Drosophila melanogaster: one gene and its partner. The protein of the gene in region 2 interacts with the protein of the main gene of each other region in a biochemical or structural test. Each region holds a gene or a part of one and is shown on either strand. Other genes may lie near its edges. The genes, in order: Cdk9 and CycT.

The links.
Region 1: the proteins of CycT (region 2) and Cdk9 form a complex in vitro, tested with the Drosophila melanogaster proteins (one study listed by BioGRID).

The regions. Positions count from the first base shown.
Region 1 is NT_033778.4:22,635,303-22,639,720, reverse strand, and holds Cdk9 (Cyclin-dependent kinase 9), read left to right. Parts: upstream 1-1,993; 5' UTR 1,994-2,130; coding exon 2,131-2,315; intron 2,316-2,377; coding exon 2,378-2,462; intron 2,463-2,521; coding exon 2,522-2,779; intron 2,780-2,847; coding exon 2,848-3,534; 3' UTR 3,535-3,658; downstream 3,659-4,418. Other genes in the region: CG3732 (uncharacterized protein), read left to right, coding at 1-184, 241-683; bonsai, read right to left, coding at 908-1,410, 1,470-1,603, 1,663-1,868; CG17807 (uncharacterized protein), read left to right, coding at 3,797-4,418.
Region 2 is NT_037436.4:17,551,510-17,559,306, forward strand, and holds the start of CycT (cyclin T), read right to left. Parts: upstream 6,280-7,797; 5' UTR 5,564-6,279; coding exon 4,987-5,563; intron 4,911-4,986; coding exon 4,865-4,910; exon of another isoform or gene 4,634-4,864; intron 4,323-4,633; exon of another isoform or gene 4,022-4,322; coding exon 3,426-4,021; intron 3,370-3,425; coding exon 1,295-3,369; 3' UTR 1-1,294. UniProt on the Drosophila melanogaster protein: Regulatory subunit of the cyclin-dependent kinase pair (CDK9/cyclin T) complex, also called positive transcription elongation factor B (P-TEFb), which is proposed to facilitate the transition from abortive to production elongation by phosphorylating the CTD (carboxy-terminal domain) of the large subunit of RNA polymerase II (RNAP II).

The DNA of each region.
Region 1 (4,418 bases), on a different chromosome or scaffold from region 2:
AGCAGCAGCTCAAGCAAGAAAAAGCTGGGCACCGAGATCGGCAAGGCGGCGGCCGACAAGTCGCGGGGCTTGTTCAGCGCCGAGGACTGGCAGTGCAGCAAATGCGCGAATGTGAACTGGGCCCGTCGCCAAACCTGCAATATGTGCAACGCTCCTAAGTTCTCGGATGTGGAGGAGCGGACTGGTGAGTCCGTAGAAGCCTGATCTGCTTCAAAACCCACTTAACCAGTTTCTTTAAAGGCTTTGGCGGTGGATACAATGATCGCGGCGTGGTAGAGTACAAGGATCGTCAGGATTCGGATAGCGAGTACGATGAGTTCGGTCGTCGCAAGAAGCGAAAGCACGGCGAGCATAGAGAGGACTCAAAGAGGCCCAGAAGGTCTAGCCGAGATGAGCAGCGGAATGATGAGGAAGAAGATGAGGACGACGACGAGGGAGACGACGAGGATCTATCAAAGTACGATCTCTGGGGCGACGAAGAAGTCACTTCCACGGATGTCAAGAGCAAAGAGGGCACTGGCAATGGCGACAAGGAGCGCAAGCGTACCTCACGCGACTCTACCTCTTCCGTGTCCTCCTCGTCGTCGTCCAGTTCGTCCAGCTCCAGCGACTCTTCGTCGAGCAGCTCGAGTAGCTCCAGCAGCGGCGGCAGGCGGAAAACCTCCTCGTCGGGCAGACGTTAGCTGCAACCGTACCCTTTAGGAACTTCTCTTTAATTGCGTCTGTTTTTACACATTTTTCTAAGGCAATCATGCTTGCCTTCTTATTTATTTGCCAGTATGCGCTCAGATGATCATGACATAGGGTACGATGTCCAGCCTAACTCTTAAAGTATAATAAAACATATAATTTAAGAAAACCAGCATTTACATTTATTGTAAGACACCGTAACATTAAAGAATCGGGCCTAATTGAAGCCATCCTCGTTTTGTTTCTTGCTGCTGGCGGCTGCCTCCGCCTGCTGCAGCTCCTTCAGCATTTCCAGCTGCCTTTTTGAGTCGGCGATCTTCTCTTCTGTCACGGTCACGGGGACATCGCAGGAAATCTGTTCCTGCCGCACGAACTGCATCTTCTTGATGGCCTCCTCAAGGAAGGGTATTTGCTGGGCCTGCAGCTGCTTATGGTAAGCCTCTAGCCGCTCTTCCTTTAGGTTTTCGCAGTATATGTCGGTCAACTTTTGGAGGGATTCCTTGCGGGTGATCCAGTGGAAATGTGTGGGCGGTGGCTTGTACACCAGGTCGAGTTTCTCGAGAATCCACTCGAAGCGGGGATAATCCCAACGTCTCAAGTACTTGAGGAACTTCTTGCGTTTGTCGATGAGCTCCTTGAGACGCACCTTGATCATCTTGTCGCGCGGATGCTTGTCCATGTGCTCCTGGTAGCGGCGGATAACTGCAGTCATTTTTGCCACTAAAAGAAGGGCAAATTTGGGGGGAACTGCTATATGTGCACTTTGCAAAGATACATACATTTGGCCTCCATTGAGCCGAAATCCTGGGCATGTCTTTGCACCTCCTTGACCATCTCATCGCGATAGAATTTTGTGGTCAGGTAACTAGCGTTGTTGCTCAGTTTGAACAAGGATTTAACTGACTCGTCGGCTCTACAAAATGGTGAGATGATGTAAATAAACTATTATATTGAGAGAATACTGCAACATACTTATCCAACTCCTTGCAGTCCCTGTATTCCGGCAGCAGTTCGTCGGCTTTCAGAGGAGGCAGCTTGGCTAAATCGCCGCTCTTTTCGGGCTTATAGCACGCGATCTTCTCGGGGCGCATCCATTTGATTTTCAGGTCCGACTTGAATGCATATTCCCGGACAAACTGCCGATGCCCTGCCTGGGCTATATTCAACAGTTTATTCATTAATTCGGCTTTTATTTGTTGGACAAATTTTGGCTAGGTTATATCACTTGGCCAGTGTATACCAACAATCGAAAAGTTATTACTACCCAGCTGTTTGACCCATCGATTTCTTATCGATAGGCCTTGACAGTGTGTGCACACCGGTATTTCTTTAGTCAACAGCTGTAGAAACACCAATTGTTGCCGATTTCTTTCTTTTCGACTGTCGGCTTCTCGCGAAACTGTGATTGTGAAAATTGTACAAATAGAGGCAAATTTAACCATGGCGCACATGTCCCACATGCTCCAGCAGCCTTCGGGGTCGACGCCCTCCAACGTGGGCTCCAGCTCATCGCGCACGATGTCCCTGATGGAGAAACAAAAGTACATCGAGGACTACGACTTTCCCTACTGCGACGAGAGCAACAAATACGAAAAGGTGGCGAAAATTGGCCAAGGCACCTTCGGGTAAGTCTCCAAATTGGTGAAAACTAACTTTAAACTAAAACATACGACCCCTTTGATTACAGAGAGGTTTTTAAGGCTCGCGAGAAAAAGGGCAACAAGAAGTTTGTGGCCATGAAGAAGGTGCTGATGGACAACGAAAAGGAGGGCGTGCGTGAAAAGCAACATCTTAAGAGACGAATTCCTTATTTATATATGTGCTCCCCTAGTTTCCCATCACGGCTCTGCGAGAGATCCGCATCCTGCAGCTGCTAAAGCACGAGAACGTGGTGAATCTGATCGAGATCTGCCGCACCAAGGCCACCGCCACGAATGGTTACAGATCCACCTTCTATTTGGTCTTTGATTTCTGCGAACACGATTTGGCAGGTCTTCTGTCCAACATGAACGTCAAGTTCAGTCTGGGCGAGATTAAGAAGGTTATGCAGCAGCTTTTAAACGGTTTGTATTACATCCACAGCAACAAGGTGAGTCATGTCATTAAGCAAAGTTTTGGTTTTACATTGTATGTATCTGTTTTCATTTGCATTACTAGATCCTGCACCGAGACATGAAAGCTGCCAACGTGCTGATTACCAAGCATGGCATCTTAAAGCTGGCTGACTTTGGCTTGGCCCGTGCTTTTAGCATTCCAAAGAACGAGAGTAAGAATCGCTATACCAATCGCGTAGTAACCTTGTGGTACCGGCCGCCTGAGCTGCTACTTGGTGACCGCAACTATGGTCCACCCGTGGACATGTGGGGAGCCGGCTGCATAATGGCCGAGATGTGGACACGCTCGCCCATCATGCAAGGCAATACGGAGCAGCAGCAGCTAACCTTTATCTCGCAGCTATGCGGCTCCTTTACGCCGGACGTGTGGCCGGGAGTGGAGGAGCTGGAGCTGTACAAATCCATCGAGCTGCCAAAGAACCAGAAGCGTCGAGTCAAGGAGCGCCTGCGTCCGTATGTCAAGGATCAAACCGGCTGTGATCTATTGGACAAATTGCTGACCCTTGATCCCAAGAAACGCATCGATGCGGACACAGCTCTGAATCACGACTTCTTCTGGACGGATCCCATGCCCAGCGACTTGAGCAAGATGCTGTCCCAGCACCTGCAGAGCATGTTCGAGTACCTGGCGCAGCCACGCCGCAGCAACCAGATGCGCAACTATCACCAGCAACTGACCACCATGAACCAGAAGCCCCAGGACAACAGTATGATTGACCGGGTTTGGTAGACTGCCAGAGGTGTACGCACCCGACTAATAGTTTCTCACCTTCAACTAGCGTTAGGTTATTAGGTTAGTGTACAATAAAAATATTGGCATTTGCATTAGCGCTTGCTCCAAATATACCTACATTATGTTTCTCTGCTTCTTATTATTCTTTATTCAAAGTTTCTACAATTACTTGAAGTTGCAAGAAAGGGTATTCACAATCGACTTAAGTATTAGAACAAAAAGAAAAACATTGAAAAGGGGTGTACACACTGGCCGCGAGATGCACGTTGAGGAAACACAGCAAAAGGTAAACAAGGCCAAAAAGGCGGATAAAAAGCAGCGAAGATGTCTGGCAATCATCAAAAGTGACTGCGAGGTGTCTCCAAGCGCTGAACCCACCCCTTACCTGGCGGTTCTCAACGTGGGACTCAGCAATGGACTCACGGAGGAGTGTTTGCTCACGGAGGCTGCCGCGACCGGTGGAAAAGTCATCCAAGTGGTCATGTTGCCGGGCAAATCGTACTGTTTTTTTATTTGTGCCAGCTTGGAAGACTCCCAGCTCATCTATGAGGGAATGCACAATATATCGACCATTGGACAACAGGGAGCTGTAGCCTACCTTAGCTATATAAGGCAACTACCGGCACTTGCGGGAAAAAGTGAGTGGAACAAGCCTCTTCCCAGAGGCCTTCACATAATTGCTGACTTTGTCACCGAAGAGGAGGAGTCAACGCTGTTGAGGGCCATTGGCGAGGATGGCAGAACCTCCGAAGTCACGGGATCTCTAAAGCATCGAAACGTCAAGCACTTCGGCTTTGAGTTTCTTTACGGCACCAATAATGTGGATCCCTCGAAGCCTCTGGAACAGTCGATACCATCAGCATGTGATATTCTATGGCCAC
Region 2 (7,797 bases):
AAAAACGCGCAACGTTCGCTTAACCTTTGCCTTAGTCGAAAATTACATAAAATTTCATTTCATTCTCATTTTCGCCTCGAATATATAGATCATGCCTAGATTTCTATATGCCTAACTTTTGTTTCTCCTCGTTTAGCCTTCTGTTAGTTTTTCGTTCGTTTAGCTTAGTTTGCTTGCAACGTTTTCGCTTGCATTTACATAATTTTAAAACTTTTTGTTTTCTTGCACAACAACTTTTGTTTTATCCAAAATTTAGTTTTGGGTTTCTTTTTTGTTTGCATATTCCGTTTTTGTTTTGGGACTTTATTATTTGTTTTTGTTTTGGTTTTTTTTTTGTTGTGGTAATTTGTTTTGTAATGCTATTTAAAAAATAAATTAAAACAAATGAAAGCTACGTCAACGTTCCAGGCGATCTTGAAACATAATATCATCCGCTGAAACAATCCGATCTTTTTACTTATCTTCATTGAAAAGTGTAAATACACTACTGTATATATTGCTAGGTGTCGAAAACTATATTGAAACACGGTTAGTAATCGGGCAATCGTTCAGAAAGGAAGGGAAAACTTTGCTAACTAAAAATAAACATCTTCATTCATTTTCGGATTAGCAACTATGTATTAATTAAATAATTCATTATGTGGTTTGGCGTCTTCAATTTTGAATCAAAGCGCTGGCTTTCCATTTACTCTCCTATCCTCTGCCACAACTATATGCTCCTCTGTGGGGATTATTTTGAAGTTCTTACTCTTTCTATCTCTCTGGCTTGCATTTAGTTGGGGCCGTATTTAGTATATTTGCTAAGCGGAAGTCTGTACTATATATCTCTTGATTGTGTGTTTGTGAGAGTGGCTATATACAGGTTAGAGTGTGTGAAACGGGTATTTGATTTGCTAACTTAAACGCTAGACGGCCATTGCTGCTCTCTGTGAATTTTCTGCTTGGGTCTCTGATTCCGTTTGCCAACAATTCGCTTAAAACTATTCCGTATTTTTATGTATGTGGGCTTATATGTATGCTATTTATTATAGTTATAAATTAATTAATGCTGTACAAAAGTTTTCGCGATTTGAGTACTGCTTTTACGTCCAGCCCCATCGCGACATCTACTTCCACTCTTCTTCGATCTGCGCATCCGGTTTCACTTCCAATTTGGAGTTTTATCTATGTGCTTAACTAAAATCAATAATGCATCTCACTAACAATCCTAACAACTATACTACAATCGGACTTACTGAGGTTCTATACATATATCAAAACGTACGACTTAAGAATAACCCTCTGACCGCTACCACTACTTCTTGTTGTAGACGGGCATGGGAGGCGGTGCCAGCCCAGCGGCAGAGGGTGGTACTGCACCGGTGGGCGCCAACAGCATGGATGGTGGTACAGCAGTAGACATGGGGGCGCCCATTCCTCCAGACATATTGGGTGCGGCGCCAGCACCGCCAAGGGGATTAAAGATGCCGCCACCAGCGCCATTGTACTTCGCGTAGTCTTGGCTCTTATTCTTTTTGCTCTCCTTGTCGCGGTCACGATCGCTGTGCTTTTTCTTGCTGCTGCCACCGGAACTGCTGCCGCCCGATGAGCTGTAGCCACCACCGCCGGCACCATAAGGAGGCAGAACAGGAGCAGCTGCTCCGATCGAAGCGGATGTGGTGGTAGCCGTAGTTGGAGGCAAGCCATATCCGATTGCGCCAGGCAGACCCGCCGCTGCAGAGTAGTTATTGGGTTCAACCTTATTTTTGCTGATCTTAAGTTTAATGGGAGCTGACGCACCGGCCTGCAGGCTGCCGTTGGGATTCTTGATAACCATCTTCAGAGGCTCATTGGGAAGAGAACTGTCCTTGCTGCCACCGCTGCCGCTACGATCCTTCTGCTTGTCCTTCTTGTGCTTCTTACGCTCCTCCTTTTCCGTCTTGTCCTTGGACTTGTCCTTCTCCTTGTGTTTGTGTTTATCCTTCTTCTTTTTCTTTTCGGACTTGCTGCTGCTTTCCTCCTTAATCTCTCCGGCCTGTTTAGTGGGTACTTCCAAATCCATGGGTGCGGGCCCACTAGCCAAACTGGTCATCGGAGTTATTCCCTGTTCTTTCTTGATTGTCGCTGGTGCGGGCATGGGCTCAAGCAGTTCGGCCGGTGGTTTCAGGCCAGGCATAGTCAAGGCATCCGGTTTCAGGAGCGAAGCGTTCGATGGACACAGACTCTCCTTTAGCAAACTGCGCACCAGATCCGGCGTTGTCTCGATTCCGTTGGACATATTCAGAGGCGTGTGTTTCTCCTCATAATTCGGATAAGTTGGTAGTCCAGTTGTAGTGTCCAGCTTGCGAAGCTTTTCTCGAGGCATATTACTGTTATCTATTTCATCCAGCTTATTTAGTCCATACTGACTTCCCGAGATCTCGTTGGGCCGTTTTAGGCTTCCACTCTCTCCAGGATTGGTCAACAGGTCCCCGCCATGGGGTATCTGCTTCTTGTGAGGCGGTAGCATCGGCTTTGATGATCCCGAGCCGGAGGAACTGTTCCCACTGCCCACTGGGGGCATGACAGGACGGTGCTTATCCTTTTTGGTTGGCGTTAGTCGCTCTTTCTTGGGACTTTCTTTGTCGCGCGGATGGCTATTTAGCTTGTAATCGTGGCCGGGAGGCGCAGGAGGGGGTAGCAAACCGTTAAAAGGCTGTGGTTGCGACTGCGACATGGGCTCCTTTTTAATGTCTGGCCACTCTGGACTGAAGAGCGAGTTCTTGGACTGCAACGAGTGCTGGGATGCCTCCGGAGGCATCTGTTGCTGCTGAGACTGAGGCACTGGCTGCTGCTGCATGTGGCCGTAGCTCTGGCTCTGGGAATAGGGCAATTGCTGCTCGAAAGGCGGCATGCCATGGACGGTGGAGCCGGATTTGCTGCGATGGCCGCCGTATCCGGCGGGAGGCGGGGGCTGGGATCCATTGCTAGCGCCTGGATATCCACCACGCGACATCAGCGGGTTTTGAGGGGCACTATTACTGTATGGCGGCGGTGCGTTCGGATACATTTTGTTGCTCTGGGATTTATCCTTGGAGGACATGCCCGATGCAGAGGAATTAGAGGCGGATGGATGTGGGACCGGCTGCTGCTGCGGCTGCTGGGGCTTGGAGCCCGAAGTCATCTTGTGGCTGCCGTGAGGTGGCATGCCCACGCCTACCGGCGGCATGCCGCGAGAGGATTTGTGATAGTCCACGGGCATAGACGGTCGGCCAGGCTGCTGGCTTGAAGACGACGAGGATGAGCTGCTGCGCTGGCTGCCACTTCCCGAGGAACCGAGTCCACTGCTACTACTACGCTGGTGACTTGAGGGCATTCGATTGTTATAGCCCGGCTGCTTTGACTTGTGATCTTCAATACGAAGATGTTAAAAATGTGATTCTTTTTGCAGTTGTTGAAATACTTACCCGTATGAGCGTCGGGCGGCATGCCACCAGGGTAATTTGGCATCTTGTGACTGGAGGAAGACGACGAAGAGCTGCTGCCTGGCACTCCGCTCACTGAGGACGAGCGCTGATGGCCACCATCCTGTCGTCTTTGCTGCGGCACCATAGCCGGTGGCGGCAGTAGTGACGACGGATCCCGTTCCCGCTCTCTCTCCCGTTCACGATCTCGGTCCCGATCCCGGCTGTCGTTGCCGTTTAACAGCTCTGGTGGTGTCGTGATGTTTGAGTGGTAGCCCTTCATCATCTCGGTGATCTTCCAGTCCTCCTTTGGTTTGTCCTTGCTGTTAGCTGTCCGATTGCTGGCTCCCTGGGCGATCGCCTTGATCGAGTTAAGCTTAGACTTCAGACGGGCCGGGCTCTTCTCATAGATAGCGATGAACTCATCTGTCAGCTGCTTTAGCAAATCCAGCGAGACCGTCTTGTCCACATAGTAGAACCAGTGTTTGCCCTCGGTCGACTGGGGGATCTCCCATCGGGACCACTTGCAGGCTAGGTAAATGCAGAAACAGGCTACGACCGTGGGGCGATATTGGAGGCACATCGAGGTCAGATGCAGGCTGTGCCAGGATGGTTAAGTCAATTTAGTGGGAAATCTTTTGCAAGAATATCACATATAAATGTAGTTCGGTGAGTGTGTGCAGGGGGATTTCATCACTTATAATACAGATTACGTCTTTAGTTCTTAGCATGTTCTTAGCGAGTCTCTTTTATTTCTTGGGGATCTTAAACTTAAAAGAATTATTCTAAAACGTTTGCCGATATTTCGAAATGCGCAAATTTTCCCAATGAGCTCTCCTCATGTAATCAGAATTTTGACTATGTTTTAGGTAGGCAGGTATGCCAAACTGAATTTATCTTTTTTCCAGATGTTTTAGTATGCCAAAGGATTACAATGGTTATCATTACAATTCTTCAAATATCTTTTTCTAGGAATTAACGACTCTTTCTAGGAATTAGTCTTATTCTTGACATTTGGCGGATTTTCCGACACAAATTACAATGTTATTGCAGGCAACTGAGGATAATTACCGCGAGGGACACGGAAAATACTGCCTTTTTGCTAAGATGCGATATTTGTACAGACGTCCTGCTGCGATTAGGGACCGCGTGTTCTTGTTCGATTTGTGACTTGGGGTCGTCACTTTTTTTTTTTGTTTCGACTCACATACCTGGGTTTGTTAGCTATAAGCGAGGAATTAAGCAGGTAAAAGAACTGCCCAAAGATTTTAGCCACAAAAAGTCAGGGATCGAACTCTCTACAGCCTGACCACTTTCTGGGGAGGATTGGGCCAACACCACACCCGCACACACACACACATTGCTTATACCACAGCCGTATTTGCGTTGGGGGCGATCTCTAGGAGGGATTACACCATAGAGTAGCGCATTGCTAGCCATACCTGTTCGAGGCCAAGAAGTACGATGTCTGCGCCAGATCCTTGCATGCTAAAATATACCACAGTAATCAGTACCATCTGACATGTGAAGGGGACATGGCTTGGGTCGGATGGTGGGTGCATACCTTTGACCAGCTGGCAGGTGCGCACCACATGCGTGTGCGGATGATCGATGGCCACATCGAAGCCCAGCGTCTGCAGGAGCACGTTCTCGTTGAACACAAGCTCCTGGGCGAGTTCGGCGTAATTCTGCTCGGTGGTCGGCGGCAGGCACTTGTTGGCGGCCCGAATAACATGCTCCAGCTTCCGCGGTTGCTCTTCTACCTTGGCGGCCAAGAAGAGGCTCGCCGACGCCATGGAGTTGCGATGAAAGTGGGTGAAGGAGTGAAAGGCGTAGAACCGATGCATGTACACAATGGCCGTGTTGATGCACAGTTGGGACACCTGCAGACGCTGACCCATTTCCTGTATCAGATAGGCGGTCATCTGGCGGTACTGCAGCTCATCGTCGCCCTTGATGCCGCATCTTCTGCTTGGCGAATTGGCCAGCTGATCGTTGCTGAAGTACCAGATCTTGTCCTTCTCGAAAGGCAGGTTGTTGTTGGCGGTGATTGGAATCCCGCTGGCCGAGGCGGCCGCGGAGGCGGATGAAGAAGATGAGGCGGTGGCCGCCTGGGGCATTGGCGTGGCTAGGAGACTCATGGTTGTATGTTTCCTTTATCCGTGCAGCGGAGATGGGGATCTGGGATTTCGGGTTCCGCGTGGTTATGCGGGGACCTCCGTTTCACATGCAAACTGCGCCTCGGAATGGACCTAGTAATTCCCTTTTGGCTGATTCAGCTGTAGGAACTAACTGTACGAAGAGGAAGGGAGAGCGCTCTTTCTTTGTCGGCCGTGCTTGAGTGCGCTGGTATTGGTGTCTGTGTCCGTATCCGTGTGCGTTGCTGCTGTGGCGGGGGTGGCAGCGGTACGGAAGGGGCAGTGGGGATCGCACGGCACATCGGCTAAGCCACACTCGATATTTCGCTGTTTTTGGGAGACTCCAATTTGGGTTTGGAACGAGGGGTTAAATCCGCGGTCCGCACACTTTTTCCGCCGCCGCGTCTCTGCGTGTTTGTTTGTGTGTGTGTGTGCGTGGTGGAGATGGTATGGTGTGGTGAGGTTTTCTGGAAACTGCGACTGCGGCGGAAACGAAACGAGACGAAAAACACACTAACCGCGACACCAGGCGACGTGTTATGCAACTTTCGTATCAATTCATAGTTATTCGCACTGCTTTCGCCGGGCACTTTAACCATTACGGGTCGTTTACTCGACGTTTTTAATTCCACAACACATCACAGATTCCATTCACACAGTGACAATGACAAACTTTGCAGAAAAAAATGTATTTTCAAGTATGGCCGTCGGCAGGGCTGCCAGATCGATAAGGCTTTCCAAACCGATGTTTATTTCGCATTATCGATATTATTTTTAAAATATGGCAACATTGATTCTACTGTTTATGTTATCGATTAATAATCGTAAGGTAGATATTCAAATAAATGTAAATACATTTTTAAGTAACTTACCTTAAACTTTACATTTCGCTAACACATGTAGAAATATCACAATGTCAACATTTTTTCCCTTCTTATTCAATTAAAAAATAACGTATATTCCGGGGGAATCGAATTTGTACTTAATATGTTTGAACAGTCCCATCTTAAATATATCTTATTATATGTATATGGACATATTATATATGTACTTTGAGCACCTTCATTTAATCGCATGACTTTTTTTTATCAAAATATCCAAATGTTGTTATGTATATGTTTATATACCTAGTCGGACAACCAGCACTTCGGTTGAAGCCAATCCTCAAACACCGTTACATCCAGAAAAACTTTATGGGCTGGTGGAATCATTGGTCCGTACTTCTTCAAAGCCGACGATGGCCAGTACGTTACAGTAAATGACGATCGGTATAGGGCTATTGTTACCAACATTTTCATTCCTGAATCGAACAACCATGATGTCCAGGACCTGTGGTTCCAAAAAGAGGACGCAATATGTCACACAGCTCGTGCCACAATCGATTTAATGGTGACCGACTAATCTAACGTTTTGGACCTGTAATTGGCCTCCCAGATTTTGTGACTTCTTTCTGTGGGTGGGGATATGTAGAGTTATTGGTCTATGCGTATAAGCCATAACCGACCGAATCATAAGAAATAATACTAGTAGTAAAAAAGACATTCCGAATTCCTGTACAGCTCAAAATGGCTATACATTTTGAGAGCGATGCTCTACCCATTTGAAATCTGTCATAAAAACACATATGAATTTTTTATTGTTATTTATAAAACAGATAATATATATTTATAGTTTGTAGATTAAAATATACAAAATTTAGCTAAAAACCTTAAAACTCTTATGTCGTCATAACAGTAAATAATTATGCTAGCTTGTGACTGTTACTTGCTTCGTTTTTCTTAATGCATTCTTATAAAAATTAATCTAATCCGTTCGCTTGCGCTTGCCTCTAACCATAAAATTCACCTACATACCATGACTTCGATCCAACGTTCGTTTCCTTACTACATAAGCATTAAAGTATATATATATATATTATATATATTGTGGCTGGCTTTAGCTGATTTCTCATCGCAGACATTTTTAAAATGTGTCTGTCAAATGTACAAAGATTGAACAAAAAGTGAAATAAACAGTCTAAAAACTTAACTTAGGTTAGTAAGTCAAAAACTAATCGTATCTAATGTTAATGCATTCAACATATTCGTCTAAATCTAGGCCAATCCATATCTCTACTATTCTCAGGCGGCATAGAATACCTTTGAATAATCGCACGTTTCCATTTAAAAGCTATATAGTTCGTTTCGTTTTTGAGTTACCAATAGAAAGATATCTTGTCTTAGCCTTAGCCTAGCATA